7 linked regions of the Coturnix japonica genome follow. The protein of the gene in region 5 interacts with the protein of the main gene of each other region in a biochemical or structural test. Links are inferred from orthologs where the notes say so. Each region holds a gene or a part of one and is shown on either strand. Other genes may lie near its edges.

What was found.
Region 1: the proteins of GRB2 (region 5) and PTPN1 form a complex in vitro, tested with the Homo sapiens proteins (2 studies listed by BioGRID). The link is inferred for Coturnix japonica from reciprocal best matches to the Homo sapiens genes GRB2 and PTPN1.
Region 2: the proteins of GRB2 (region 5) and FRS2 form a complex in vitro, tested with the Homo sapiens proteins (2 studies listed by BioGRID, with this or other methods). The link is inferred for Coturnix japonica from reciprocal best matches to the Homo sapiens genes GRB2 and FRS2.
Region 3: the proteins of GRB2 (region 5) and PDGFRB form a complex in vitro, tested with the Homo sapiens proteins (2 studies listed by BioGRID). The link is inferred for Coturnix japonica from reciprocal best matches to the Homo sapiens genes GRB2 and PDGFRB.
Region 4: the proteins of GRB2 (region 5) and NCKIPSD form a complex in vitro, tested with the Homo sapiens proteins (2 studies listed by BioGRID). The link is inferred for Coturnix japonica from reciprocal best matches to the Homo sapiens genes GRB2 and NCKIPSD.
Region 6: the proteins of GRB2 (region 5) and SPRY2 form a complex in vitro, tested with the Homo sapiens proteins (2 studies listed by BioGRID and IntAct, with this or other methods). The link is inferred for Coturnix japonica from reciprocal best matches to the Homo sapiens genes GRB2 and SPRY2.
Region 7: the proteins of GRB2 (region 5) and CDKN1B form a complex in vitro, tested with the Homo sapiens proteins (2 studies listed by BioGRID and IntAct, with this or other methods). The link is inferred for Coturnix japonica from reciprocal best matches to the Homo sapiens genes GRB2 and CDKN1B.

The regions. Positions count from the first base shown.
Region 1 is NC_029535.1:12,162,838-12,167,137, reverse strand, and holds the start of PTPN1 (tyrosine-protein phosphatase non-receptor type 1), read left to right. Parts: upstream 1-1,500; 5' UTR 1,501-1,520; coding exon 1,521-1,664; exon of another isoform or gene 1,665-4,300. UniProt on the Homo sapiens protein: Tyrosine-protein phosphatase which acts as a regulator of endoplasmic reticulum unfolded protein response. Mediates dephosphorylation of EIF2AK3/PERK; inactivating the protein kinase activity of EIF2AK3/PERK.
Region 2 is NC_029516.1:32,158,793-32,162,772, reverse strand, and holds the start of FRS2 (fibroblast growth factor receptor substrate 2), read right to left. Parts: upstream 2,801-3,980; 5' UTR 2,655-2,800; intron 1-2,654. UniProt on the Homo sapiens protein: Adapter protein that links activated FGR and NGF receptors to downstream signaling pathways.
Region 3 is NC_029528.1:4,822,763-4,826,697, reverse strand, and holds the start of PDGFRB (platelet-derived growth factor receptor beta), read left to right. Parts: upstream 1-1,135; 5' UTR 1,136-1,532; intron 1,533-3,935. UniProt on the Homo sapiens protein: Tyrosine-protein kinase that acts as a cell-surface receptor for homodimeric PDGFB and PDGFD and for heterodimers formed by PDGFA and PDGFB, and plays an essential role in the regulation of embryonic development, cell proliferation, survival, differentiation, chemotaxis and migration.
Region 4 is NC_029527.1:6,683,894-6,687,393, reverse strand, and holds part of NCKIPSD (NCK-interacting protein with SH3 domain), read right to left. Parts: intron 2,076-3,500; coding exon 1,983-2,075; intron 836-1,982; coding exon 663-835; intron 101-662; coding exon 1-100. UniProt on the Homo sapiens protein: Has an important role in stress fiber formation induced by active diaphanous protein homolog 1 (DRF1). Induces microspike formation, in vivo. In vitro, stimulates N-WASP-induced ARP2/3 complex activation in the absence of CDC42.
Region 5 is NC_029533.1:9,398,553-9,402,052, reverse strand, and holds part of GRB2 (growth factor receptor-bound protein 2), read left to right. Parts: intron 1-329; coding exon 330-427; intron 428-1,075; coding exon 1,076-1,198; intron 1,199-2,911; coding exon 2,912-3,080; intron 3,081-3,500. UniProt on the Homo sapiens protein: Non-enzymatic adapter protein that plays a pivotal role in precisely regulated signaling cascades from cell surface receptors to cellular responses, including signaling transduction and gene expression.
Region 6 is NC_029516.1:136,861,073-136,865,372, forward strand, and holds the start of SPRY2 (protein sprouty homolog 2), read left to right. Parts: upstream 1-1,500; 5' UTR 1,501-2,253; intron 2,254-2,488; 5' UTR 2,489-2,564; intron 2,565-2,683; exon of another isoform or gene 2,684-2,779; intron 2,780-3,868; exon of another isoform or gene 3,869-4,300.
Region 7 is NC_029516.1:66,307,391-66,311,659, forward strand, and holds the start of CDKN1B (cyclin-dependent kinase inhibitor 1B), read left to right. Parts: upstream 1-1,469; 5' UTR 1,470-1,994; coding exon 1,995-2,469; intron 2,470-2,875; coding exon 2,876-2,997; 3' UTR 2,998-3,006; intron 3,007-3,820; 3' UTR 3,821-4,269. UniProt on the Homo sapiens protein: Important regulator of cell cycle progression. Inhibits the kinase activity of CDK2 bound to cyclin A, but has little inhibitory activity on CDK2 bound to SPDYA. Involved in G1 arrest. Potent inhibitor of cyclin E- and cyclin A-CDK2 complexes.

The sequences.
Region 1 (4,300 bases), on a different chromosome or scaffold from region 5:
AGTCATAGCAAGCAGATGGTGACATCCAAACTATTAACATGGAAAATATGTCACCTGATGAGCTGTATGAGAACATAACCACACATCAGGAAATCTGTGCTCTTAGTAAAATGTTTAGATTTTTTATACCATCAGAAACATATATCTATTTTTCCATTTGCACCTCCTTTTCACTACTACCACCAACGTTCAGTTTCCAGTCTGCAGCTTCTTTTGCTCCTGATCCCTTTTCACCATGTGAAACCACTCACGTTGTGGCCTTGATCTCTACAGGGCCACAGCTGCACAGTGAAACCAGCCTCTTGTGGCTGCAGCTGTTCTCTAGCTGATTGGGCAACCCAGCACATGGCAATCCACACCACTTCCATGCCAGTCCCTTTCTCTGTCTCTCTGAGGATATAGATTCTCCCTGTGCCACATGTTATATCCATAGGCTACTAAACCCACGTGTCTTGCTGTTGCACAGCACTCCTTCCATCAAGGGCTTGGGTTTGCATGGCCCTGCATGAGATGCATCACTGCAGTGAAAATGCTGTGATCCTGCAGCAGCCAGGGATTGATGCCATTTCCCACAGTCATAGCCCTGAAGTGCCCTGGAGCAGAGATTGGTATTTGTGTGTTGGATGAAATGTGCTGCCGTACACTGACAAACTGCCACTTGCTTTCTTACACCCCTGTACTCTGAGGGTCCTCTGTTTGTTTCCTCTTCAGCACAGCCTGCAGGGTATTGTCTGTTCTCACGAGGAGGTGAGGCCAAGTGGACCGCCTGCTTCACCTGGATTAGAAACCACAGGAGGGCTTACTCAGCAATGAAGCAATGCCATCACCTCGAACGTGTTTTGGAGAGCTATCCTCACCAAAAAGAGGCCAGAAGTGCTCCCCAACAGATTCTTCAGTGTAACCCAGGGCTAATAGTTGAATTGTTGAGTCTTACATGATGCACTGTTAGCAAAAACCAAAATGAAGACAAATGAACCTTCCATATGAACAACCCCAAATGCTGAACCAAAACCAAACAGAGAATCAGAACTAGGAATGCCTGAGGTGTAACAGCAAAAGGACACGCTGGAAGATCAGCTCTGTATAACAAAATGTTACAGTTCTGCTCAAGAAAGGGGATGTTAACGTAGACTAATGGCACAGATACGTACAGTCAGTAGCATTAGGTGTGGTGACTGTTAATAGCAAGTTAACAGCAGTTGGACGCTGGAGATGCCGCCTGCTACAGCTGGCTTAGTGACTACAGAGCTGCACTCAGACAGCACAGCAGCAGCATGGATCGTATTTGCAGGCAGCTGGATTGCTATTCATGATGTTGGCTGATTTAACGCAGGTAATCTCACAATGCTGAATTTTATCAGAAATGCAAACTAAAGCTTTAACGTTCCTAAGCTCAGTAACTCATTTCCCGGCTCCAAACCAACACATCTCGCTCCCCCTCCAACCCCGCGGCTGCGGCCGCCCCGGACGTCGCGTCTGGTGTCGGGCTGCGTAGTTCCGGCCCAGCAGGGCGGGGTGAGATGCGGAGCGGGCAGCCCGGGCCGAGGCAGCAGCAGCTGGAGCCGGAGCAGCGGGGCCAGGCCGGGCGCGTTGTTCCGGCCATGGAGATGGAGAAGGAGTTCCACCGGCTCGACCAGGCCGCCAGCTGGGCCGCCATCTACCAGGTGAGGGGCGGCCGCCCGGCCCCGCTCTGACCCGGCGATGAGGAGCGCTCTGCTCGCGGCCGTTCTCCGCTGCCGCCGGCTCCGCTCCCCCAGCGCCTGCCCCGGCCGGAGCTCCAGGCGGGCGGCGCTGCGTTCCGCTGCGTTCCGTTGTGTTCCGCTGCCTTCGTTCCGTTTCGTTCCGTTTCGTTCCGTTTCGTTCCGCTGCCATCGCCCATGTCGCGACTTTCCGTTCCTCCTGTCCGTGCTGGATCACTCGCCGTTCCCTCCTTCCCTTTCCTCGCGGCGCTCAGGGTGGCTCGGTGCAGCCCAGGCCCCGCCGCTCTCCCCGCCGGCTGCCGGCATCGTCCCTCCGCGTCGCGGCCGCTCTCGGCCTTTGGAGCTGCCGGTCCCATTGTGAGCAGCGGGTCCCGGCTGTCATTGAGCTCGGTCCGTAGCGATAGAGCGGATCCGAGGAGCAGCTGGCTGGTGACGCTCGTGCAGTTATATTGTGGCATTTGTTATTACTTTGTAACGAGCCAAGTTCTGGTGTTGTTATTGCAAACACGGATGATTCTGAGGATGCTGGCAAGGTGGATCCAGGTTAACACACACAGCTGTGAGCAGGTCTTCTGCCTCCAAAGAGCTCTGTGTGTTTATCCCGGAGGTGTGAGGGGAGCTGCAGCTGTGTGTGATACTGTGATGTGCTCAGTCACATCAGACAGCGGACATTAGAAAAAGGGCAAAAAATGAGTTTTTATGAAAGTGAAATAAACGAGCTCCAGCTTCACAACAGCAGCATGTGAGCTGTGAAAGCACCAGCTTGCAGGATGGGCATCTCCTGTTGGTTGGCAGTGGGAAAATAGACATTTTTCTTATGAAATCTTGATTATCTTTTTCAGAGAAGTCATTTTTTTTGGCAGAGGATTTCATTTCCTGCAGAGCCTCAGTGCTCGCTAACTCTGTATTGGTTGGAAGTCATGTGCTCGTATGATGATGTGTTTTTGTTAAACTTCTCTTGGTATTTTGGTCTGTTGCAGGCTGAGCGCTCAGGAAATGATGTTGAGTAGCAGCGCTGTAATGGAGGTGGTCAACTTCCAGGGGTGCAGTTTAATTACTGAGGTGGAATCCATAAGGAGCTGTGAGGTTAATAAGGAACGAGGGCTGTGGCATGTTTCCAGTGCAGCATTTGGTATATTTTTTCCTGCTTTCTCTGAATGATGTGACGCAGTCTCTGCTCAGACTGTCACAGAGTGAGGTTTGACTGAGGACTGATATTCAAATTAAAAGTAACAAGATGAAGTGATTTGCTTCCAGTTGTAGACAGGCATGAGAAGCTTGTATTTTAAGGTTTCTTGCTTGTATTTTACGGTTAGTAAGTATGTGCTTCTGCATCACATAACTCAGTTTCTACTGCATCCTTCTTTTCAGTATCAGCTGTTTTAAGTGACATGGTGGCAGATCATATACATCTAGAACAGCGTACCTCGCTGTAATCCATGCTTGTGATGTCTTGGCAGTGACATGATCAATGCAGTTTTCCAACAAATACCAATCTTTGCCTGAAGAATGGAGTTAAGTGGAATAATGTTTCTTACTGGCACAGTCTCTTCTTTCTAAAGAGTCTTTCTCCGGGTTAATTATACCATGTACTTCTACTGTGTAGGTGGTAGGATCATGATTGCTAAAATCCAGATGTGTTCACCAATGTTCTGAATGAAACATCACACGGTTTACTATCAGAATCGCTTCCTCTTGTTTCTGGGCTATATCATTGATCTAGAGATACAGCTGACTTTTAGAGGAGGCATTAGGAACACAACAGGGAGGTGAATCTGACTGCAGGGGTGGCTGTAAGGAGGTCTGTGTGGATGCCACATGACTTTGAAGGCATAACATTTTCCAAGCTTCTTTTTTTTTTGTCCAAGAGGAAGCTGTGTTCAGCTGCAATAATCACCCGGTTCTGAAAGAATGGGAGTACCAGGAGGATTGAAATGCATTCACTCTGGAGATGTCACAACAAAAAGCAGGAGCCGAAAGCTACGAAAAGAAGGTTCAGGAGAAATTTCATTGCAGCCTTCCAGCACTTGAGGGGAGCTTAGAAACAGGATGGAGGACGACTTTTTACTGGGGTGGATAGTGATAGGCTAAGGGGGAATGGTTTTAAACTGAAAGAGGGGGGATACAGGTTTTCACTTGACGTAGTGAATTCAGTACCAAATTTTAATGGTAATTCTATATGTAGAAGTCTTCAATAATTTTGATTTCTAACTCCTTACACACGTTGGTAGAATGAGATACTATCTTAAAAACACAAACCTCAAATACAGGTTAAATTGCTTCTTGTGTTTACATAAACCTGGTAGGTTGATGTTAGTATGTTGGCTAATGATATTAAGTCTGATGTGTTAATAACATTAAAGAGATCTGTGAATTATTCAGCGTTCAGCTAGGAATCCCATGCAAAGCAGACACTGCAACCTGCACTAACTTGATACTGTTGGTTTTCACTGAAGCATCTATGACATTTTCTCGACGTTAGTTTTCCACGTGAAGGGTGCAGAATTTGTGCTGTAGATTGCAAAATAAGAAAGAACTGATTGTCATTTAGATTTCCAGGTCTGTTCAGAATGGGGAATATTGGGCGCTGTACTGGCTCT
Region 2 (3,980 bases), on a different chromosome or scaffold from region 5:
CTCAACTGATAAAACACCTGCCTATGCTGCATGGAATTACACCTCTGGACAGCAGTTTTCAACTGTCTGAAGCCAACAGCATTAAGTCTCAGGTCAGCCTCAGCATTTTCATCCTTTGTTGTTACCGTCATTCAATTTACTTATTATTGCAGAACATCACGCAGGTTTCTTTGCACATACTGGTAACTATCTTCTTTTCTCAGTCTTTATGTTTAAAAGCTCAATGCACACACACAACAAATTCATTGTCTCAAAAATCCGACAGATGAACAGCAGTTATAAGACTCCTCACTTAAAATCCCTTCAAAATGCACACTGAAATCATAGTCGCACTGCCACAGATTAAAGGATCTCAGATTTTAAGCATGCTGACAAACCACAACCAAACGATGCATCCAGACCCTCCGTGCTCAACCCAAGCTCAGCTTCACCAAAGTCAGCCAGGATCAAGCACACTCCAGGCTGGCACAACTCATCCCCATTGCCAGAAGCAACCTGTTCCCCTCACACCCCATTGGGTGCACCTCGACCCAGTGCTGCACAGGCACCGGCCTGTGCCTAGGAGCTTGAGAGCAAAGAGGACCAACTGTATCCTCCTGTGGTGGAGATGGTCCATGACAGCAACACATTCACACGAAGTAGTTGAGTCCCAGCTGAAGTCCCACAGTGCTGGCTACAGGTCAAGGCCCAGGCAGCCCTGCTCTTCCCCTCAAGCACGTGAGTCCCACCACCACTTTCACAAAACACCCCGTCCCTACCTCACAAGGATCCAGCCCAGAGCATCATCAACCAAAAGACACAGAACGAATCATAGAATGGTTTGGGCTGGAAGGGACCGATCCATATCCAACCTCCTGACGTGGGTAGGGTTGCCATCCACTAGATCCAGCTGCCCAGGGCCCCATCCAACTTGGCTTCAAACACCTCAAGGATGGAGAATCCCCAGCTCCTCTGGGCACCCTACAGAACAAGCCACTTGCCGTCACCAGCCCAGCTCCACAAGCTGGCACTCCCAGCACAAGGGGTAACCAGGGGCAGGCTGAAAGCAGAACATCCAGTCTTAATCCACAGCTGATGCTGCAAAGTGCACCTGTGTACCGCCCTATTTTACATTTCAATTTGCCACAGCAGCTCAGCGTGATGATTCTAATACATTTCTTTTGGAGTTCAAACGTCAGCAGCCTTGTAAACCGCTCTGCTGAGGAATGAATTTCAGACGCCACTCAAAGAACTGTACTGCTCAAACTGTGAGACTCAGGGCTCATAGAAGTGAATAGTGCTGACTGCAGGATCAGATCCCCTACTAAGCATGGACATCGCTGCTTTCAAGGTGATCTTCGAGAAGTAAATTATTATAAGTAGTAGTGCACACTGACTGCGAGAAATAACCTTGCAAACCTACAAGCAATTACATTTATTACTGCATTGGTAGATTGAAAAGGGAATCGTGAACAATTAATTTTGACTACAGCCAACCACCAGCATTCGAGACAAGACACTGAACTGGAAAGTGAGCAAAAAGCTGCTTAACCAAATATAAATACAACCACTGGGACATTGTTTCAACAAGCATTTTCAAAGCATTCTTGATACGTAGGCAAATAAACCCAGGGCTTCTCAGTCAAGAAATAACGTTCTTAATCACTTTCCATTTGTGATGCAGGGAATATTTTTGGACCTGAACTGGTGACTCACACTGATATCAATGCACATTTGTCTTGAAGCAGGCTCCAACACCGCCCGCAGGATGGCTGTGCTGCTCAGACACACTTGTAAACTGAGGGAAACAGCCAGGGAGCCTCGCTGGCAGTTCTGCTGATCCAGACAAACAAACAGATCTGAATCTGGATTTACTGGATCTGAATGTTTCTTCATATCGACCCGCTTCTAAAGCAGAGATGAATCTTAGGGAAATTAGGTTTTTGTTCTTTTAAATACAAAAGTACTGCAGAGCCAGCAGTATGGACTGAATGAGAGTCATCATACAGAATGATTTATCACTAACACTGTTAAAGCAAGATACAATACGGCTGTGCTTTCTCATTATGCTAAATGTCACTTTGTCACTAGCACTATAAGTAAAATAAAAAGCTAAGAGACAGCACGGTGTCATCTCTTACCAACTGCCCAACATCATCCTAACCTCTTCTCACCATCACCACCCCTCGTGCTTTGATGCTGAGCAGGACACGGAGACCATGAAGCCAAGAAAGCGTCTCTGTCTCACCACGGCTCGGGCAGAGAACCGATGCAGAGCGGTGCCCAAACCCCTTCCGACCTCCGTGATCCCCCACATCCACATCGCAGAGAGCCGGGAGCAGCGGCCCAGCTTGACAGCTGGCCATGTCCGACCCGTGGCACCGTGCAGGCCGGGCGGGCACGGCCGCTCCCGCATTCCGCTCCTGCCCCCGGCAGCCCCCACCGCCAGCCCGGCCCGGCCGCCTCCGCTTTTGTTCCGACCCCGCTCCCTCCGTCCGTCCCCTCCCGCCCGCGGTTCCCGGCCGCAGTCCCGCCCGCCCGCGTCGCCCCGCCGGCCCCGCACACTCCGGCGGGGAAGGAGCGCGGCCCCGGCCGCGGGGCAGGGGCGAGGGGAGCCGGCCGGGCGCCCCGCGAGGCGAGGCCGGGACGGGGACGGGAGCGGCGCCCGCACCCACCTCCGCCATGAGCCCGCGCCGGCCGCCGAGCCCGGGGCCGGGCCGCCTACCACGGGCGAGAGGCGGCCCCGCGTCCGCGGCGGGGAACGGCGGCGCCTCCCGACAGCGGCGGCGACAGGGCCTCGCTCTGGGCCGGACTCAGCCGCACAGCTTCCGGAGCACGGCGGGAACGCCTTCCGGGGCGGCACGGCCCCGCCGAGCCCCGCTCGGGCTCCTCACCGCTCCGTGTGGGTCCCTCAGACGGTGCCGGCTCACAGGCCGACGGGCGCGGCGGACACGGGGCGAGGCGGCTTCGTAGTCAGCGGTTGAACGTGAATGTCCGTTGTCTCTTTGACAGTTCAGTTCTCCATCTTCTATTGGTTGCTGGTCCTATCTACAGTCATTTTTCATCATCCCAGACTGAGATGACTGCTCGTCCATTGAGATGCGCTATAGATGCCATTCTTTTGAAGACTGCTTGCAACTGTCTACAAATTATGAACCAACGTTGCTTTAAGTCACAGAATCACAGAATGACCCGGGTTGGAAGGAACCTCAAGGATCATGTAGTTCCAACCCCCTGCCTGGCAGGGCCACCAAACATACACCTTTACTAGATCAGGTTGCCCAGGGCCCCGTCCAACCTGGTCTTGAACACCTCCAAGTTCTTTGATGGCATTTTCAGTTCTGTTCTACATCACTCGGAACTTCCTTTTAATCAGCTTTGAAAGCAGAGACAACTTCTGTACACTGTAAGATTTATCATGGAATTTGGCCTTAGATTATTGCCCTTGCCTGTAAGCTACTTTAAAAATTAAAGACTATTCAGTTCTGTAATCAAGAGAGCAGCCCAACCGTATGTGAACTGTTATCAGTAGATTTATCTCATTAATAAAGTTTTGCCTTACTCATATTCTTAACTCCTGGGTCTGACAAAGAAGGAACTCTGAGGGGATGGAATGCCAGATTGCATTTCTGGAGTGTCCTTTGGATTCCATCCCATTTCACGTCTCCTCTAGTGGGCAGCCCTTTCTGATCAGCAAGAGTTGTGTACACTTCAGCATCAATACTGATCAAAGCCTTGGAGATGGATACCAGTTTCCATCCTAAATGTTTCAGCTACACACTGAAACATAACAGGCACCACCTAACTCAGCTGTAGGTGAGGGCTGTTATATAATGGTTCCTTTCAGGGTTTGTGACTCAGCAGCAAAAGCATGTTCCTGGCTGAAGTGTGGTACAGCATCTCGCTCTCTTTCTCTGTTGTAAGATGCTACCTAGGAGTGGAGTTTTATTCTATCAGTTCCAAAGTCCATTTGACACTAACAAAAACTTATTAAAAACCAA
Region 3 (3,935 bases), on a different chromosome or scaffold from region 5:
GGCATCATCTCAGGAAAACTCATCCATGAGAGATGCTACATTTTCATGGTTTTCTTGTATCAGAATAAAGCACATCTCCAAGGCAGAAACAAGACAAGAGCGGGTGGTTCAGAAGACAGTTTCCATCCAGAAGGTCTCTATACTTTGTCATAAAGGCGAACCAAATTGCTACAAATCCCAATGCAGACAAACCATAATTGTGTCCATCAAGAGATTGTCAGAAAACTGATCTGAGCTCACCAAAGCGTGCAGAGGGATCTAAGCAGATACATTACCATGCGCACCATGGGCATTCAGCACAAGGGGATGGCCAAGGCAGAGGTGGGTGCTGTTAGGTACAGCAGGGAGATGACAGGGCGACTGGGCTCCTTCCTGGGGCACATAGCAGTACAGGACAGCTCTGTGCCCCTAAGCATCCAAATGAACCCCATCCAGCCACCACCATCCCCACATCCCCAGCATCCCACACCAGGGTATCCCAATTGCACATTATCCTTTATTCCCCTTTCCAAAAACAACCAACCCACCACTCCGAGGCCTCCCAGAGGATGCTCCCCTAGGACCATTGTGGGCATGTGTTGGTGGTCCCAGAGCCTGGCTGAGGGCTGTGGGGCCGGGATGGGGGAATGGGGGGGGTGGGGGGCAGTGCTGGCCCAGGCAGGAGTCCAGAGGGAATACACGGAGTCAGTTCAGCACAGGCCTTCTTTAATAAAAACATGAGTCAGCTGCTGGCGTGGGCAGCAGATTTTTCTAAACATCCCCTCATATCCTGAGAAAGGAATAAAATAAATAAATAAATGAAGAAAGAATAAAAGAAAACGGGAGGGGATTTGGTGGGGGGGGGGGGAAGAGAGAGAGGGAAGAGGACAAAAAAAGAATAATAAAATAGGGAGAAAGGCCAGAACTGAAAGCAAGCACAAGGAGATGAGGAGCAGCTCTGCTCGAAGGGCAGAGCCGGGCAGCTCCGGGCTCCTTTTGTTTCCCATTCGCGGGGCCCTAACGCAGCCCCGCTCCCCTCTGTCGGCACCACTTGAGCTTTTCCTCTTTTTAGTTTTCTATTTCTTTCTTTCTTTCTTTTAATCCCTCCCCATCCCGCCGCTCCGTTGGGCTTTAAGCGAAAGTTTGGCTCGAAGCGGAGTCCCGCAGAGGGCGGAGGGGAGGAAGTGGCGGACTCCGCTGCGGGGCAGCCCCGCCGCTCCTCCCCCTCCTCCTGCGGTATTTAACCCCGCACACCGCCCCGCTGGACGTCGGGGGGCTGCGATGCGCTGAGGGCGCAGCACGACGGCTTGGCTTTGCCCCAGCGCTGGCACAGCCTCCACACCCCTTTCTGTTTTACTTTTCTCCTCCCCCCAGCCCACCCCCCTCCCCTTCATCTCTCTCCTCTATGCGGGGAAGCCTTGCCAGCTGGGGAAGGCTGGGAGGGCAAAGAGCCTCCGCAGGCTGCAGATAAAGAGAGCGGAGGAGGAGAGAAAGGAATTCGGGGCGGCTGCGGACGCGCGGAGCGGCACTAACCCGCTGGGACCCCACGTGAGGTAAGGCAGGGAGCCGGGGTGGGATGTAGGACCCCTGAAGGGGCTTTGCTGATGGGGATAACGTGGGGGTTGGCACCCTGAAATGGCCCACCAGCCCTGGGAGGGTGGTGGCATCCCATGGATAAAGCCATATTGGGTAACTTCCCCTCTACTCCCCCAAGGGATGCTGTGGCAGGGCTTGAGGAACCTCTGCTTATCCCTGGGGAGCCTCAGGTCCTTCCCTGTGATGTGCTGGGCTGTCAGAGGGCTGTTGCCTGTCCCCAGTGAACTACCACTGTGCTGTCACAGGCAGGGGCTGCAAGCAGAGCTGGGTGCAGTGGATGCCGGCTGCAGGGCCTGACTGCCCCATCTAGGAACCATGGGGAGTTTGGTGCAAAGCATCGCAGGGAGCAGCAGGGGCTTCCTGCTGACCTCCACACTACTCCAGGGTGGGTTTGCAGGAGGCTGGCACAGGGATGCAGGTCCTTGCTGTGTGCAGCATTGCTCAGCTTCACCCCATGCTTGCATCAGGCAGAGCAGCAATAATGCATCCAAACACAGCTGGTGCCACCCCTCTCCACTCATTGCTCTTAGTGGCCCCCCCATCCCTGTGGGCCAGGCCAGCACGGAGGGGACATCTGTGTGCTGTGCTCAGTGCTTGCACCCATTCAGGGTGGGCCTCTCCAAGTGGTTGCACAAGTGTGGGCAATCACTCAGCTGTCCTTGGGGTCTCCAATGCAATCAGGTGGTGGTAGGTCTGAAGCAAAGCCTGGTCTGCACGTCCTGCAGTGCTGTGAGTCACAAAAGGACTTTTGGAGACATTGTGGAAACAGGGCATCCTGCTCCTGTGCTCATCTGCCAGCAGGGAGGTGCAGCTGGGGGTGCAAAGGGATATTTTCTGCTCCATCCCTGCCCTGGATCACCTGGGGCTTCTGCTAAAGCATCAGGCAAAGAGCTGAAAGCAGTGGGTTCAGCACTAAGGGCTGCAGTTGGGAAACAGCCACCAAATGTCCTGAGTGCTTGCAGGGGGGTCCTACTGGTCTCAGTTCTGGGCATCTCCCCATGAGCAATATGGAGAGGGGGGTGGTTTTATCCTCGGGGAGGAGCGAGCAGGTTGGGAGCAGCAGCCCACTGAGCTTTGGGAGGAACTATTAAATGTCTGTACATGATCTTGAGAGAGAAGAGCCCAGGCAGTTTGTGCTGTGGGAAAGGATCTGGAGGCTTTGGACACAAACCAGATTGCAGCGCGGCATGGGGAAACCAGCAGTGCTTCCTGTGGGACTGGAAGGAGCAGGGCTGGGGGCAGAGCCAGCGCAGAGCAGTGCTGAGGGATGGACATGGGAGAAAGACTTGGGGAAGACACAGAAGGGGCTCAGAGCATGCAGAAAAGGCTGCAGGGGGCTGATGGAGGGGGCTCTAAATAGGGGTGGGTGCTGGAATGGTAGCATGAAGTATTTGTGCATGGGGAGTGCAAAGGAAAAGGTCAATGTGTAGTGGTGTGCAGGACTAAGTTCTGGTGGGCAGAGCACCTTCAGCACTGCAGGTTTGGGGGGACATGGGTGCTGCAGCAGGGCAATGAGTTCTTGGTATCGTTCAGGCTCCAGTTTGGTGGGTTCTCAAAGTATCCCAAACAGTAGTGTTACAGAGTGAACAACATCCCTGGGATTAGGGCAAGAAGTGTCTGTGAGGATCAAACATTAGGGGATGCTCTCCAGCAGCAGATGCCAAGTTGAAATAGGATGAGTGCTGGATGGCCAAGCATCTCCCTGCATGCAGCAGCAAAGGGCAGGGAGCAGGAGTGGTGGTGGCTGAACAACTGCTGGCCCTCAGCCACTGGTGGTGGCATTGGTGCTGCCTTTGGCCCAGAGCTGGGGACACATTGGGGACCAGTGGGCTGGATGAATCCCATCACTGTAGGCTGGGGCATTTTGTGCAGTCTGTTTGTTTGTGCTTGAAATGAGGGGAAGAAATCCCCTGGAGAGGAGCTGAGGGGAGGGTAGAGGTCGGGGATTGTTCCCTGGGGGGCTGGGGTGCCTCCAGAAGTCTTCTTCTGCTCTGCCAGGCTGATTGGGCATAATGAGGCTTGTTTTAGGGCTTGCTTAATTAGGATCCCCTGAGCCAAGCGCACCTCTGTCCTGTTCTGCAAGGACGGCCCTTCCTGGAAGTGCAGCACTTTCCTGGAGCAGAGTCAGCTGGGACAGGGATGGGGACACGTGCCAGAGATGAACAGAGGGGCACTGGGACAGGTCAGGGGGGTCCCATGGGTCCGTCCCTTTCCTTATAGCAGGGGATGCTGGCAGTGATGTCCTGGCCCTTACACCCTTCTTCTTTCTCCTCATCTCTGGGACACAGGCTGTGGAATATTGAACAACCGTTTCAATATTCCTCATGAAATCTCGCACAGAAATGATGCTGCCAAGCAAG
Region 4 (3,500 bases), on a different chromosome or scaffold from region 5:
GCTGCAGGATGCCCTGCAGGTCAGAGAGGCGGTGCTGGTGCTGCAGATACGGCGTGGAGCGGATGATGGCGTGCATCAGAGACAGATACTCCATCCTCAGCTGCCAAGTGGGAGGGGAGAAGAAACAGGGCACAGTGAAAAATTCAAAATGAGATAAACAAGCGTGCCAGCCTCCATTACAGCATGAGCACAAGGAGCAGCTGCTGCTGTATGACCAGCCAGACAGAGCTCCAGAGGCACTGCTTTTCTGGAGGACTCACCATTAGCTATGGAGAACTGTGCTTTTCCCACAGCACCTCAATAACGCTCATGATCCACTCTCAAACATAAGCACATTCTCTGCCTCTAGCGCTAATAAAACACAGGAGATCCCTCCTTCTGCTACTCACAGAGGGGCCCTTTTCCCAAAGGTCCCTGAACAGAAGGGCAGAGACCACCAGAGCCTGGCAGACCTTTCAAACACACTTTCCTGCTGCCACATGCAGGCAGGACAAATCCTCCCTTCCTTCTCAGCCCCTTAGACAGATTTCAGCACTCTGAAATGTTCTGCCTGCCCCAGGACTCCAGCTCTGTCTGCACCATCAAGCCCAACAGGTGAGGAGAAATACCATTGCTTTGGGACCACGCTCCCCTACTCAGTGCCCGTGGCTTTGTGTGAGCACCTTGTCTCCGGGGGAGAGATCAGCGATCTGCCGCACCAGGATGTCTATCAGGACCATCATGTCTGTGTGGTAGAAGATGCTGGCTGTGTCCTTGCTGGCAAAGATGTCCTGCAGGAACTTCAGCACTGAGTGGGGTGGCTGAGGCTGATGCTTGAAGATACAAACTGGATCATCTGGGGGTGGCAGAGAGATCGCGTTAAGCCACACACTCCTTGCTGCCCACCTCCTGCACCTCCAGTGCCAACCCCTGCATTGTTCCCCACAGGTTTTGGGGAGGGGGCTGCCCCCACCTCAGCCAGTCGCTCCCTGCCCACGGCCAGCTTTCATGCCAGCAGTCCTTAGTGCCTTGCACAAAGCTGTGTAATCAGGATGGCAGCTCTGCAGGGCACCAAGCTGAGACCAAACTCATTAGCATTAGCATTAATCATTGTTTATGTTTCACCTATTATCCCAGGTGAAAGCTCATTAGCACATTACCTCCCAGTGCCTCCCCTCCTTGCTCAACAGCCACCACTCATTTTCTCCCTGGTTTATTAAGTCTGGTCCAATGACCCCTCTGAAAAGCCCACCAGAGCCTGCATCAGAAATAAGCTTTCACCATGGAGACCAGGCTAGGACTGTTCTGGAAGCAATAAAAGAAACACCTCCAAGTTTAATTTACCCACTGTACCCTGTTTTCTACCAAAACATGGCCCTGCAGACCACAGAAGGGGCTATGGGTACTACAGGAGAAGGGCACAAGAGAAGCATCTTTCTTTGGTTCTGGTTTTCCTGCTCCTCAAAGTAAGGAAATCCTTTTAGAGAATCTCATATGGAGGAGTCTAAACAAAGGCTTTTGGACAGGGCCAGACAGAGAAGCACTGAAATGCAGGCTGCCCTCAAACTGGTATAGCGTGGAAACTGATTTGCGACCCCAAAGGCATCTGAAGCCTGAGTAAGACGAGCTGCGAGCTTCACAGGGTGAGTTACTTACCAGCAAATCAACACAACAAATCTCAAGCTGCAAAGCCCCTGTGCTCCAGAAGGTATTAGAAAGCACAATAGCGGCATGCAGCGCAGGCAGAAATACCTGGCACTGCTCTGCCTGTAGTGATCTCCAGCTTTCTAACAATCTGCTGTGCATGCAGTGGATTTCACTCCATGCCTGGAGCAGGCAGAAAACTAAACCCTCTGCTGGCCAGGCTGAAATGGGAAGCTCCATTCTGAGCAGCACGTCAGCCCCAGCCAACAGCTTCAATGCCACCTGCACCCCCAGCTCTTACCAAGCACCATTCCTGGGAGCTGCATCCCCTGCCAGGCAGGTGACAGTGCCGCACTCACCTCCCCTGTTCAGCAGCAGCAACAGCTTCTCCGTGAAAGTCTTGACATTGGAGTGCTTGCTTATTGTCGTCATGATCACGCTGTGCTCTGGAACTAGGGAAGAAACCTGCTCAGCACATCCCTTTGTTTGCTGAAGACAACAGTAACAAAACAAAAAAGGAAAGCAGCACAGGGCTCCCACTGTGGGGAATTGCAGGGAACCAACCCACCAGGGCTACAAAAGGTTCCAGGGTTCCACCCCTGGGGGCACTCAAGGCCAGGCTGGATGTGGTTGGTAACCCTGTCTGTGGCAGGTGTTGGAACTGGGAGATCTTCAAGGCCCACTCCAACCTAAGCCTCTCTATGAGTCTATGAACATAACATGTTTTAGCAGAGTTTCTGAATCGACTTTGCACATCTGCAATGCAGGACAAATGAATCTCACAGGCAGAGAGATAACACATTAATCCACTGATAAGCAACCTGAGCATCATTTAACAGGTTCTTAGCATCAGAGAACAAATCACTGCAGGCAATGATCCCCCAGAAACACGCTGCTGGTCACACATTATTGCCCAATTACTGCATCCAGGATCTCTAGGGGTAACTATGCAAAAGTGTAATGAACGAAAGCAGCGGAGACTGTACTAAATCAGCCTCTGTGCAATCAACTTTCACATGAAATTAGAAACTTTCACACAAATTTTAATGGTGTACAACTTATAACAAGCAAATTACTAGCCATGTCCTGCTGTTTTATCCTCCCCTTTCTCCACAAAGCCACGGATAAGGTCCTGAAGCAGAACAGCAGTAAATAATTAAATACAATTGGAGCAACAGGAGACCTTGCAAGCTCATTCTGGGTTAACAAGTGTCAGGACCTGGCACTATTTCCCAGTTTCCCAACAACAAGCTTTGAAGCTCCCAGTCAGCCCCACAGGGAATGGGCAGATGCCCTTCTCTGGGGATCACAGGCTTTGTCTATTAAGTAGCTCAGCAGAGGAGGGAGGATTGACAGTGAGGGAAAGGAGGAGAGTGTGCAGCTCAGGCTAAGGGTAATAATCTCAGCTCCAGCATGTAAGCAGTGAGTAAGGTTCAAGAAGTGCAGCTGGATAAGCAGGTTTGTGAAGACCTTCGTAAAGCAAAAAGCTTTCTTTCTGGACAGATACCAAGAAATGCCCATTGAAGCATGCTCCCTTCCAAATCAGCTGTGCCTACAAGTTGGCCATACACATGTCCTGCAGTCCAGCAGTTGCTTCCATCCAGCCAGCTTGAATGTATAGACAGAAATCCACTGGACTTCATGGCTGCTGAAGGGTCAGCTGGTTGGACATGGGCTCTCAGGCTGATTTTCCCTCTAGAGTTTTGTAGAGTATTTGAGCAGATACAAGTAGAAACACAGTGTGCTGCCAGAGGCTGAGAGAGCTGCACAGGTTATCGCAACACCATCAAGTGCCAGTGAGATTCTACATCCCTGCTCTTCATCCCCTCAGTGCTCCAGACCACCTGATATCCTGACAAGGCAGAACAGCACCAAAC
Region 5 (3,500 bases):
GGCTGTTTTTAGTCAGTGTACCTGCCTTGTCTGTTGCACTGCACCGCTTGGCAGAAAAGCAATGAAAAATAAAGCAACAAAACTTCTAGAGAGAGTATGATTTGAAATAATGATTTGTGTATTAATGCATGGAGTTTATTATAAATTATTGATCCACCTTGTTTTGAAGGCTGATAAAATGTGATGGATTGGGATGGCTGACTATGTGTTTTTAAGGGCTCGTCTTATATGAACAATCTTTGAGACACAAGTGGAAAGAATAAGCTTGTGTCTTCGTCTGTTTTGCTGGAACTTGAAATGTAGTAAGCTTATTTTTTTGTTTCCTTCAGGTTTTGAATGAAGAATGTGATCAGAATTGGTACAAGGCAGAACTCAATGGAAAAGATGGCTTCATTCCCAAGAACTACATAGAAATGAAACCACATCCGTAAGTAGAGCCTTGGTGGTAGTGCCTGTGTTTGGTTGGTTTTAAGCATAGATAAATTGACCTTTTCTGAAGACATTTAAACTGCTGATGGCATCTGGATCATGTGTCAGCAGTGCTGGAAGTCTTCATTAGTGCATTAGCAACCTGAGGAAATTACAAAAAGTTTGTATACTATCGTGTTTACTGAGCAATAATGAAGAGCTCTCTAAGTAGTCCAGCAGGGCATACAAAAACAAACTTCAGCCAGCTGACCAGGTGTAAGAAAGAGAGCATTCCTTTTCTTAGAGCTGGTGTCAGTGTTGTTGGAAGGAGGTGTAAGTATTTTTTCAAGAGAATTTAGAAGGAAAGTAATTGAAAATGCCTTTATATGTTAAGGATTTCACTCTTACTGCATTTCTGCTTCCCTAAATTAGATGAAATAGGGCTATTGTGAGCATGTGCTCATGAAATCATGGTAGCTTCACTGCTAGGACAAAATGTGAGAAGTTGCATAGTTTGGTAGCCTGTAGTAGATTAACAATAAATAGATGCAGTTCAGTCATTTCTGCTAGAATTCATCTGATCTCCGTGGGGATACCTGTGTTGGGCTCTTCCATAAGACAGTTCAACTCCTTAACTTTCTCTGTTTTCTTCTTGCTTACTCCACAGGTGGTTCTTCGGAAAGATTCCCCGAGCGAAGGCTGAAGAGATGTTAGGCAAACAGAGACACGATGGTGCCTTCCTTATCAGGGAGAGCGAGAGTGCTCCTGGGGACTTCTCTCTCTCGGTCAAGTAAGTAGTGCCCAGAAATAATCGTGTGGAAATCAGGGCACTTGATGCTCATTTTGACTCCTGGATAGATAAGTGATTATCAGTGCTGAGGAGCGGCAATAATCAAGATAGCATACCTATTCTTCTGGTGATAATGTATTTTTGTCTTTATTAAAGAGGAAGTACAGATAAGCTCTGTTTTGTAATGAGCCTACATGGCTGACTTGGTGGTGTGTTGCTGTCTGACTTAAGTGTTTTCAGGCACTATTTGTTAATTTGTGGATCCCATTTCTCCTTCCTCCAACTATGAACTGCCCAGTTTGTACATACTGCTTTCCATCCTCCTTTGTTCCTCTTCCATAGAACAAGTCATTATTCTCTTCTGTCTTTGGATAATACACTTCCAAATATTTTTCATGACTGCTTGGCACATGCTTTGGGGATATTCATCTTAGCCAGCACTGGGACATGGAGCTAATGAAAACAAATTCTTTTCCATTTCTCAAATGCATTCCATTAATGGAATTTCAATATAGAGGAATTTCTTTCTGTCTAGTAACATTGAAGGTAGGCAGGAACAGTTCCCATCCTTGTATAACATTTCTAGAAATGCTAACTTTTAATCAGCAGCAATTTCTGATAGTTAACATGTGAGCCATGTTTAACCATCTCACAGCTCTGTATAAGCCGCCATAAATTGAAGTATTAAAAAGTTGGAAGAGTATGGGATGTAAGGTAGCATAGGAAGGAAGGAATTCCATCCTCAGCAGCTGATTTTTATCTTTCTTAACTTTCTGTAACCTTCCCCTTTCCTTCCAGAAATGAACAGGGTTTTCTTTAGTATCTTATATTGATTATTCACGCACAGTTCCTTGTTTGCTGTATTTTTGGCTCATCTTTGGGCTGTACCCAGATTTTGTCATCCTGTACACCAGTCTTGATCCAGCCAACAAACTGAATTAAAACCACTCTTTTTAGAAAGGTGTTTATAGTTCTGCTGGGTACAATAATCTGAGCTGGAATACAAGATACGAATGGGAGCTCCATTGCAGACATCAACTTCCTTCATGAAACTTGGTTTTGACTGTAGCTCTGCTTATCTTGTCAGCTTAGTGTTGCCACCTGGTGGTAGTTTGGTTTTTTTTTTTCCTGGTGGATTAATTTAGAAAAAGCTTTCTTCCACTCACCCCCAAACAGTGATTTGCAAGATTTGAAATGATGAGAATCTCTCAGGTTGAAGAGGAAACAGCAAAGGCAGTACTCACTGATTGTTTCATGTTAACGTTGTAGCCAAGACTATGCCTGCACTTTAAGCTCTTGATGCCAGGTGGAGAATGTACTCCTCACCCATTTTCAGTGTTTTTGTTTCAGAATAAAGTAAAAATGCTAACGTGCTGTTCATCTGGAAAAACTTTGGAGTTGCACTTTACGTAGAATAAAAGTTGAATGCCATCACATGTCAAAATATAGAAGTGGAAAAGTCTGTCTGTTTTGCAATACATCATTTTTTTTTTGTAACTCCATGCTTAGAGACAGTCCTGCCGTACTTGTGGCAGTTCTTTTCCCAGCACTTTTTGTATGTTTTCAAGGGTCTGCTTCACAGCAGCCAATTGATACCTGCAATCATTGTCACCAGCTATGTCCCGAATGATTTTTGTGTTGTAAAGTCTCACAATCCTAGAAGAGTGCTCAGTGACTGTGTTCTTCTCTGTATTGTTTGCTCATTTCCCACAGGTTTGGAAATGATGTGCAGCACTTCAAGGTGCTTAGAGATGGGGCTGGCAAGTATTTCCTCTGGGTGGTGAAGTTCAATTCTTTGAACGAGCTGGTAGATTATCACAGATCCACATCTGTCTCCAGGAACCAGCAAATATTTCTACGAGATATTGAACAGGTGCCACAGGTAAGAGAACTGTTTGTTCAGAGCATATTTAAACTAATGCAACCATGGGTTGCATCTGGGATTGTATCTTGATGGTGATGGAGAAAAGCTGACTTTTTACCTGTAGGAGTTTATTTTTGGATCTTGCTGCCAGAGTTGTACTGGAAAATAATCTGGATGTTTGTGCACAGCCTACCTGCTAAAACTTAGTATCCATTTCTGGTGGTGTTACTGTTGCTGCCTGAACATTTGGCTTGTGTTAATGTTTTTGGGTACTGTTGAAATAAGATAATCCAATTCCTGTGAATTAAGAAGGTGTTTACTCCTGTTTTAGGACACAGTAAGAAAGCACAGTTATGTACTGGTTCATAGCCAGAACTGTCCCGTCCCGTCCATCCCCCCCCCCCCCAAAAGCAGTGAAATTTTGGTAGTAGTCTTGCC
Region 6 (4,300 bases), on a different chromosome or scaffold from region 5:
CTGTACTTTAGAACTGGCATTTAAACTTCTGATTTCTCTGTAAAACACAGTATGGTGGATTTTCTAATTTATACACTATTTCTGTGCTTGGTTTATATCCTGAAAAAAAATCAAGCAGGCTTTCCCTCGTCCATAAGCTTCTACATGTTGTCCATTACCTATTTTTGCCTTTACTAAGCTTCACAGTGAAGTGAAATCAACATCATTCTTCTCCCGTTCCTATGCTAACCCGCGCTCATCCCTCCCGGATGAATCCCATGGATTTCCCGGCGCAGCCTGAACGTAGCACACAGTTCTGAGGATGCCCAGGTTCATACTCAGCAAATCCCACTCATCACTGGTGACCCCGTGGATCTACTAGGGCCGCATGAAGGGATGAACGCAGAGCTGTGGTCGTCCCATAGAGAAACTATGAGAAATAACTCTCAGCTTCATAATGTTAGTACATAGTACTACATAGCCTTCTCCGCCCCCTCCTCATCCTCCCACCCCATTTTTATTAACAGTGACCCCTCTCTCAAGCAGCGATGACAGCAGGTGGAGAAGAGGAAGCGCTGCCAACTGCCTCCCAGCATTAAGAAGAGCTCTCAGGGCTTTCGCCCCGAGAATTTGCTCATGTAAATAACGCGCCACATCGCTGCTCGGCACGCCGGGTATATTTTAAGCAGGGCCACACGTGATAGGGGTGTACGAGCGCTCTGTGCATGCCGACGTGGATACGCCGCTGTGCGCGCTTTAAAGACCCGCTGGCGGCGCGGGGTGCCCAGGCCTGACGGCACTGCAGCCCGTGCAGAGATGACCGGCTGCTCCCATATCAAGGGAACCTCTCTCACAAACAGCCATTTCTATCAGCTGCCCGTGGGCCGCGTCCCGTACACGAGTGGGAATCCATTACAATGGAAGTTTCATAAAAGCGAGCGAAATTACAAATGAACGACGCTGAGAAACACCCCCCGGGGGGCTCTTGGAGACCCCGCTGTGCCCCTGCCGCCGCCCGCCCCGCGCTGCCCCGCGGGCCCCGCTCCGCGCCGCCGTGCCGCCTCCTCGCGTTAATCCGCGGCACAATGCCGCGGGCAATAAGCGGCCCTTCCTGCTGCCGGCTGGGGGGGTAGGGAGCAGAGAGTTTAAACTTTTTATTCCATAGAGGGGGATTAAAAAAAAAAAAAACAAAAAAAAAAACAGAAAGAAAGAAAATAAAAAGAAAGGGAAAAAAAAAGAAAACATGGCTGGGGGAGGGGAAGCACCTGGGAATGGGTCTCCCGCTCCCCCCAGGGAAAGCAGCTCCCCTCGACCGCCCTGTAGCCCGATCGCTGCTGGCCCCTGGATAAACACGCGAGCACAAAAGCAGCCCCGAGCGCCGTGTGACCGCGCACGGAGCTGCCTCCTGCGAGAACAGGCTGCGGCCGGGCCCGGAGAGGGGCGCGGGGCTCCGCACGGCGCCGGGGCCCGACGGGAGCGGGGCCGGGGCCGGGAGCGGGGCCGCGATTGTGGTGGAAGCGGCGGTAGCGCTGCCCTTTTGAATGCCTCCCGCAGCTCGGAGTGCTGGCAGGGCGCTGGGAGCGCCAGTGAATGTAGCCCCGCAGAGCCAATGAGCTGGGACCGGATGCGATATATCCTCTGGGACAACAACTGCTCTGTTCCTCCTCAGATCCACATGACGCCATTTACTGCTGCTTTTGCAGAGAGATCACCCTACCTCCTCCGGAAAGAAAAAGAGAGAGAGGGAGAGAGAGAGCGAGCAGAAAAACGCCGAGCCCCTCCAGCTCAGATCTCAAACCTTCCTCCTCCTCCACCTCCTCCAAACACACAACAACAACCACCACCACAAATCCGCTGCGCTCCCCAAACACCCCCCCCACCCCCCCGCTCGCAAACCGCAGAGCCGCCTGCAACACACTCACACACACACACACACACACACACACGCTCGCAGAGGGAGCGAGAAAGCCGAGGGAGAGAGGGAGAGGAGCGTGCGGCGAGCGGCGTTCGGCAGCGCGGCCCCCCCCCCCCCCGCCCGGCTGCTGCTGCTGTTGCTTCCTCGGATGAGTTCGCTGGAAGAAAGCTTTGCCATCGGATTTTAGATCCACTTGATTTTGTTTTCTGTGGCTTTCTCCTTCCTCTCGATCCTTTGCAACGGCAGCAAGAAAAAAAAAAAAAAAAAAAAGGGGAAAAAAAAAAAAAAGAAAGGTGACTCGGTGCTGGCGGTTCGGCCTCCTGTTCATTGAGGGAGAAAAAAAGGAAAGTGTGTGAGAAGTGAGTTCTTTGGAGGAGAACAGAAAACCCACCCAGATCCGGAGAGGTGTTCTGATTATTACTATAGCACATAGGCGCACACACGTTCTTACAGTCGAGCTGGGCAGAGGGGAGGACTGACTTTACTCCGGACTTTTTTTTTTGCAAGCCGATCGTTCTGATTCTCATTTGCAAGTTGGACGAAAGCAGAGTTTGGAAAAGAATTTTTTTTTTTTTTTTTTTTTTTTTGCTTTAGGGCTGGATTTATTTGCAAACCGCAGGAAGAAGAAAATACAACAGAGAGAGGGGTTTGGTGCAGCGCCGCGATCACGGTGAGAGCCTTTTCCTTCTTTGCAAAACAAGCTTTTCAGTAACCCCCGCAACCCCCCCCCCCCCTCTTTTCCCCCTCGTATCCCCCCCCCTCTCCTCCCTCAGCGCTGCTCCAAGAAAACTCGTGGAAATGTTTGAGGCCGATCCTTTTTCCACTCGCACAGGTTCTCCCTCTCCCCCTTTCCCCTCTCCTTCCTTTCCCAGAGAAGAGCCGGAGGTGGGATTTCGGAGCTCTTTTTCTCTCCGGGGAGGGTTTTGCGGGCTGCGCTTTATTTGCGCCTCGTCGCGGTGCTCCGGGGGGCGCGAGGCTGCGCGGGGGCGGAAGGCTGCGCGAACGTACACGCGTGCCCGGGGGGCTGCGGGGAGGCGGGGGCCGCGTATTCCCGGCTGCGGGGAGCCGGGCACGGGCGGTGCTGCCCCGGGGGAGGCGCAGGGAGGGCGCTGCGAGGCCGCCGGTACCCCCGGCCCGGGGGAGCGCCGTGATTGACGCCCGTGTGTGGTGGCGTCGGGAAGATCCGTGCCATTCGGAAGTGAGTGCACGGCTGGTGTGTAAATACATCTGTGCGGCTGCGGGTGCGTGCGTATTTCTCGTGCGGTGAAACTTAATTCGATTCATGAGACGGGGAAACTTCACTCCCAGGTTCTACTTTGCAGAGTGTGTGTGTGGAGGGGAAGAAGGACTTTTTTTGTGGGGGTTTACTGTGTAACAGGCCCCCATCCCCCCACCCCCCTCCCCGATATATATATTTATCTGCTGGTGTTCTCAGCATGTTACTTGTATGTCAGCTTGCCCAACCTTGATGTAAAGTCGCTTTTGCCCTAATCCAGAGTCTGATGGCACACTCTGCTCTTAATGTGGGTTTCAAAGCACTGTGAAAGCAGAGACGGTGACGGGGGTGTTTGCGGGGCGGTGGGGGTGGGGGTACTGCGCGGCTCCGGACACAGCACAGTAAGTCCCGGGCAGGGACCTCTTCCCCCGAGGCCCCCTCCGCGATGCGGGGATTTTCCACACGCAGCACGCAGAAGCCCCTTGAGTTTGCCACTTCCTCGGACGTGCGAAGACGAAAGTTGCCTCCCCCCCACCCCCCCGGCTCGCCCTCCTGCCAATCCCAGCCAGGAGTAGGCAGCGGTCGTGGCACTTGAGCTGTGCGAGAGTGGACTTTGGCTTCTGGAAGTGGGGAACGGTGTTATCGCCCACATGCACACACAGGAAGGCCAAGCGCTGGAAGGGTGCTGGGTCATAGGGAGAGTCGTGCTTTCTCTCAGAGCTTTCGGGCATGGCTGCAAATAAAGGTGCTGGAGGTTTACATCCTGTCCCGTTAGGGTCTGTCAGGGGGAATAAGGAAACATGGCCCGGCTCGGGTTGACAGTGCCTCCTGGGCAGGGGCGGGAGGCTCAAGTTCGGGCAGTTCTCTTCTCTGGCGGCTGAATGAGCGCTCAGGGCAAGGCGAGGGGGGGCAATTTGCCTCCTGCCCGGCTGTCCCGGAGGTTCTGTCTCCAAGCGTCTGCGGGGCGCCGCTCACTGCCCGGCCGGGAAAGGCTTCCTGAGCATCTCCCGGGGGAGGGCAGGGGGGAAGAGTTAAAAGGAAACATGGGTTTGACTTTCCTGATAAGGCGACTGCGGCCGCCCCCTCCCACCTCCCGGCCCGGGGATGTCTCCTGTTAATCTCCAGGTTGTCTGCACTCGCGGGGCCGCCGCCTGAAGCCACGGGGCTCCGCGTCCCACCTGCTGCGCTCC
Region 7 (4,269 bases), on a different chromosome or scaffold from region 5:
TAGCCACTCATGTGCACAGCTAAAGGGAACAACCCAAGTGTCCCACACCTCACATGAGAAGTGGAAAACTCTGGTGGCTAAGTTAAAGACAGGAAAGCCTGGAGAATAAAAAGAGAAGCCCTCGAATGAAGCAGATGAGTAGGTCCCACTTTGCCACCTCACACAGGCTTTTTTTTTTTCTTCTACAGAGTTGCAACTTCAAAAAACAAAGCAAAGGAACCCAACAACCCAGAAATCCCAACAGCAAACACCTAAAGATGCAGACATCAGGATGTCAGCTTCAAGTCTCTGTGAATGGGTAGATCCTGTGGTTGCTGAAAGGAGCTGGAAAACAACTTGTGGTAAAAGTTCTGGCAAACAAAAATAGCAGGGCTGACATTTTATTTCAACCTTGTGTTTTTTAAGTGTTTTTATTTTTCTCTTTGGATGCTCACATCCCTTTTTGAACTCGGTGCTGACAAGAGGCTGACCCAGGACAGAAGGCTGAGCAAGGCAGGGGGCTGCTGCCTTAGGGAAGGAGGCCCACAGACAACCATACTCTGGGGATAAGCATTAAATGCTGATCTTGTTCCCTTTCCAGTGCCTGCACAGGTGAGGCTCCAGTTCAAAACGCACCAACTACAGGGTAGGTTTTGGTGGCCCACTGCAACTGCAAGGCCTGAAGCAAAGTGTGTGTCTGAGTACAGATGGGGCAAAAGCTCCAAAGCTTTAAGGCCACAAGATTTTGGACAGCTGGACTTTGTGGAGGGTGCCAGGCCAGACACTTTGGTATGTGGGGTCTGTAGTATCCAGGTTACCTGGGCCCTGGGGAAGTCCCAAACCTCCAGTGTCTGAAAAGATCCTGCAGTGTGTGGGGCTGTCCTGCTGAGCAAGAGATGCTGACTGTAGTGTGAGTGAGTGTGAACAAGGAGAGCCCAGAGGAGAACCCTGCACTGCTCTTAACTCCAGCGGACCTGCTGCAGCAATCAGAAAAACAGCTCAAAAATCCCTGCCCATGACTCCTGGCTCAACTAACCTTTCAAAACACACAAACTTGAAGGTTTTCATTCTCTTTCCCCTGCTTACTGAGAATACAGCTCCCTGCTGAGAATTCTTACAGCTCCTTCCACACCTGGGCCCTCCTTGCCGGCAGTGCAGCAGAAGCCACCCCTCGCTTTCTCCCTTTCCTCCTGCGGGCAGCACTACGAGGATGCTGGGCAGTGACCCTCTCCCCCGCCTCAGCCGGAGCGCAGCTCCCAGCCCGCCCAACCCTGTGCAAGCAGAGCGATAGCCACAACGAGTCAAAATGCAGCTAGTCCCCTCGACTCGCGTGACTTTCACCAGGCTTATGTTCCGCAGGGGGAGGCGGGCTCACGTGCGCGGAGCGGAGCCGTGCCGTGCCCCCCACGCTCTGCCCGCCCGCCGAGGGGCGGCCGGCGGCCAGGGCCACCTTTAGAGCCGGCGGCGGCGGCGAGGTATGGCCGTGCCGACGGGGCGGTGCCGGCCGCCGTAACCAATGGCTCGGCTCCGCTGTTTAAATAGACTCGTCCTGTCAATCATTTTCTCCTTCGTCAACCTCCCTTCAATCGCCATATTGGGCAACTGAGAAAAGGGCTCGTCTCGCCTTGTTTTTTTTCCCTCTCCGCCCGTACGACGTGGCCGTGGGGAGAGCGGCGGGGCCGTGCGGGCAGCGGTGGGGCCGTGCCGACGGCAGCGCGAGGCCGCCCCCGGGGCCGCGGAGGGCAGCGCCGCTCCCCGCTCGGCCGCTCCCCTCCGGAGCCGCCCGGGCTGCCCGGCGGCGGCGGCTGTCGGGGTTCGGCCGGCCCGGCGCTTATGCAATTGCGCGCCGCCGCCTCTCCTCCGCGGGCCGAGGCGGGGCCGCAGAGAGGGGGCCGTACGGAGACAGACCGCGGAGGAGAACCTGCGAGCGGCCGCGGGTAAGGAGCGGAGAGGAAGAGCGGGGAGAGCCGCGAGAAAGCCCAGCGCCATCGGCGACGGCAGAAAGGGAGGGGGAGATGTCAAACGTCCGCATTTCTAATGGGAGCCCTACCCTGGAGCGCATGGAGGCGCGACAGTCGGAGTACCCGAAGCCGTCGGCCTGCAGGAACCTCTTCGGGCCGATAAACCACGAAGAGTTAAACAGGGACTTGAAGAAGCACCGCAAGGAAATGGAAGAGGCATGCCAGAGGAAGTGGAATTTCGATTTCCAGAACCACAAGCCGCTGGAAGGCAGGTACGAGTGGCAAGCCGTGGAGAAGGGGAGCTCGCCCGACTTGTCCTTCAGACCACTGAGGCTACCCAAAGCCATATGCAAGTCCATCGTCTGTCAGAGCCTGGATGAAAACAAGAATTGCCAAACAGCAATTTGCGCCTCTTCTCAGGGAATCTCAGAGGATACCCACTGTGCAGGCGGGAAGACCAGTGTTGCTGGCGGTCAGACGGACTTTGCAGAGCAGTGCGCCGGGCAGAGGAAAAGACCCGCCGCCGACGGTAACGTACCCCGCGGGCAGCGCCGGGCCCGGCCCCCGCCTCCTCCCGCCCGAACGCCCCCGGTGCCGCCCGCGAGCGCCCGGAGCTCCGCGCTCGGCGGGGACCGCGGGTGAGCGGCGGGACCGAGTGGCGCCCCTCGGGCAGCCCCTCTGCGGAGGAGAAGAGGGGACGCTCCGAGCGCCGGAGTCGGGGCGAAACTAAAACGCGCGTCTCTTTGCCCAGAGAAAAGCCCGTCCGCGCCCACCTTCGCGTAGCCCGGTAGCTGACGTAGGGATGCGGGGACGTGCGGGAATAAGCCCCGGCCCCGTCTCTCCTCCCGCCCCCGGGTGCCGAGCGAGCACCTTGCGGGACAGCGTTTTAAACCGGTCTTCTCCCCCCCCCCTGTTTTTTAATTTTCCCCTCCTAGATTCCTCTCCTCAAAATAAAAGAGCCAACACAACAGAAGAGGAGGTTTCAGAAGACTCCCCCAGTGCCAGTTCAGTGGAGCAAACGCCCAAGAAATCGAGCCCGAGACGACATCAAACGTAAACTCCCCGAGTAGGTTCCCTTCGGGCTCTGGGCATTAGGATGCCTCGGGGGTGTCCGCCCCGAGCTCGGGACCGGGCTTCACGCGGCGTCGTGGTGCTGGGGGGCTGCCCCGCCTCGGCGCCGTTCGCACTGTCCCACCGTGGCAGGGAGCTCCGGCCCAGGAGGGCTCTGGATAAAAGCGGGGCTGAGCGGGAGCCTCTTGGGCTGAGAGAGGAGAGCTTGTGCTCCGGTTTTGTGTTGTTTTTCTCTTTTTTTTTTTATTTTTCTCCTCCCCGGTCGTTGTGGTTTTAGTTTCAGGCGCTGGCTGAGTTTCCAGGGAAGGGAGCGGGTTAATGGCAGCCGTGTGTGGTGTTCTTGTTGTTGTTTTGTTTCAGCGCGAGGGCTGGGGCGGAGGGAGGTGGTACATCGCGCCGGCGGTTTCGGGGCCGGGGTTTAGCGGGAAGGTTTGCGAACGCGGTTCGCGATTGTGCCGAAGAGATTAAGCTGCAAAGCAGAAGTTGCAACAAATTACTCCTGCTGTGGGGGGTGGGGGGGTTAGGGTTAGGCGTCAGCCCTCGCCTCTATGCAAATAGCGCACCACCGCCCGCTCCTTCGGGGCGGGGGCAGCTCCGCGGCCCGGTGGCGGCCCGGCCCCACGGGCTCCGAGCGGAGGCGGCCGACGGCCCTGGGGCGGCCGGGCTTAGAGTGCCGCGGGGCTGGGACGACGCACGGGCCGTGACCGGGCCGGGCCTTCCCTGCTGCGGGGAGCGGTACGAGCCCGTTGAAGGGAGCGCGTCGCTTTCAGCCTCTCTAATGTCTTCTCCCCGTCTTCTTCCCGTTGCAGGGCGGAGGACTCGTGTTTCCTTGCTCATCGGGGGGCGGTGAAGCCAGGAAGATAAACAAACAAACAAACAAAAAAAAAGTCGTAGTAGAGATGAATACATATCGTCGGTCTCCATGGGATGGGGACCCTGTGCAAGCACTGAAAAACAACTTCAGCAAAACAAACAAAAAAAAGCAGACAATAACACTAAAAGTTTAGACACTCTTAAAAAAAGACCTGCCTCTAAAAGCATCGGATGTAGCATTGTGCAATTAGGTGTTTCCTTATTTGCTTCATTGTACTACCTGTGTATATAGTTTTTACCTTATGTAGCACATAAACGTTTTGGGAAGGGGGGGGGGAGTGGAAGAGGGCGACCGATGGAGACTTGCTTTCGCCATCTAGCAAGCAAAGAAATGAAGAGAAGCAGTGTAGGCTTTTTATTCCTTAAAGATGTATTGTCCCTTTAC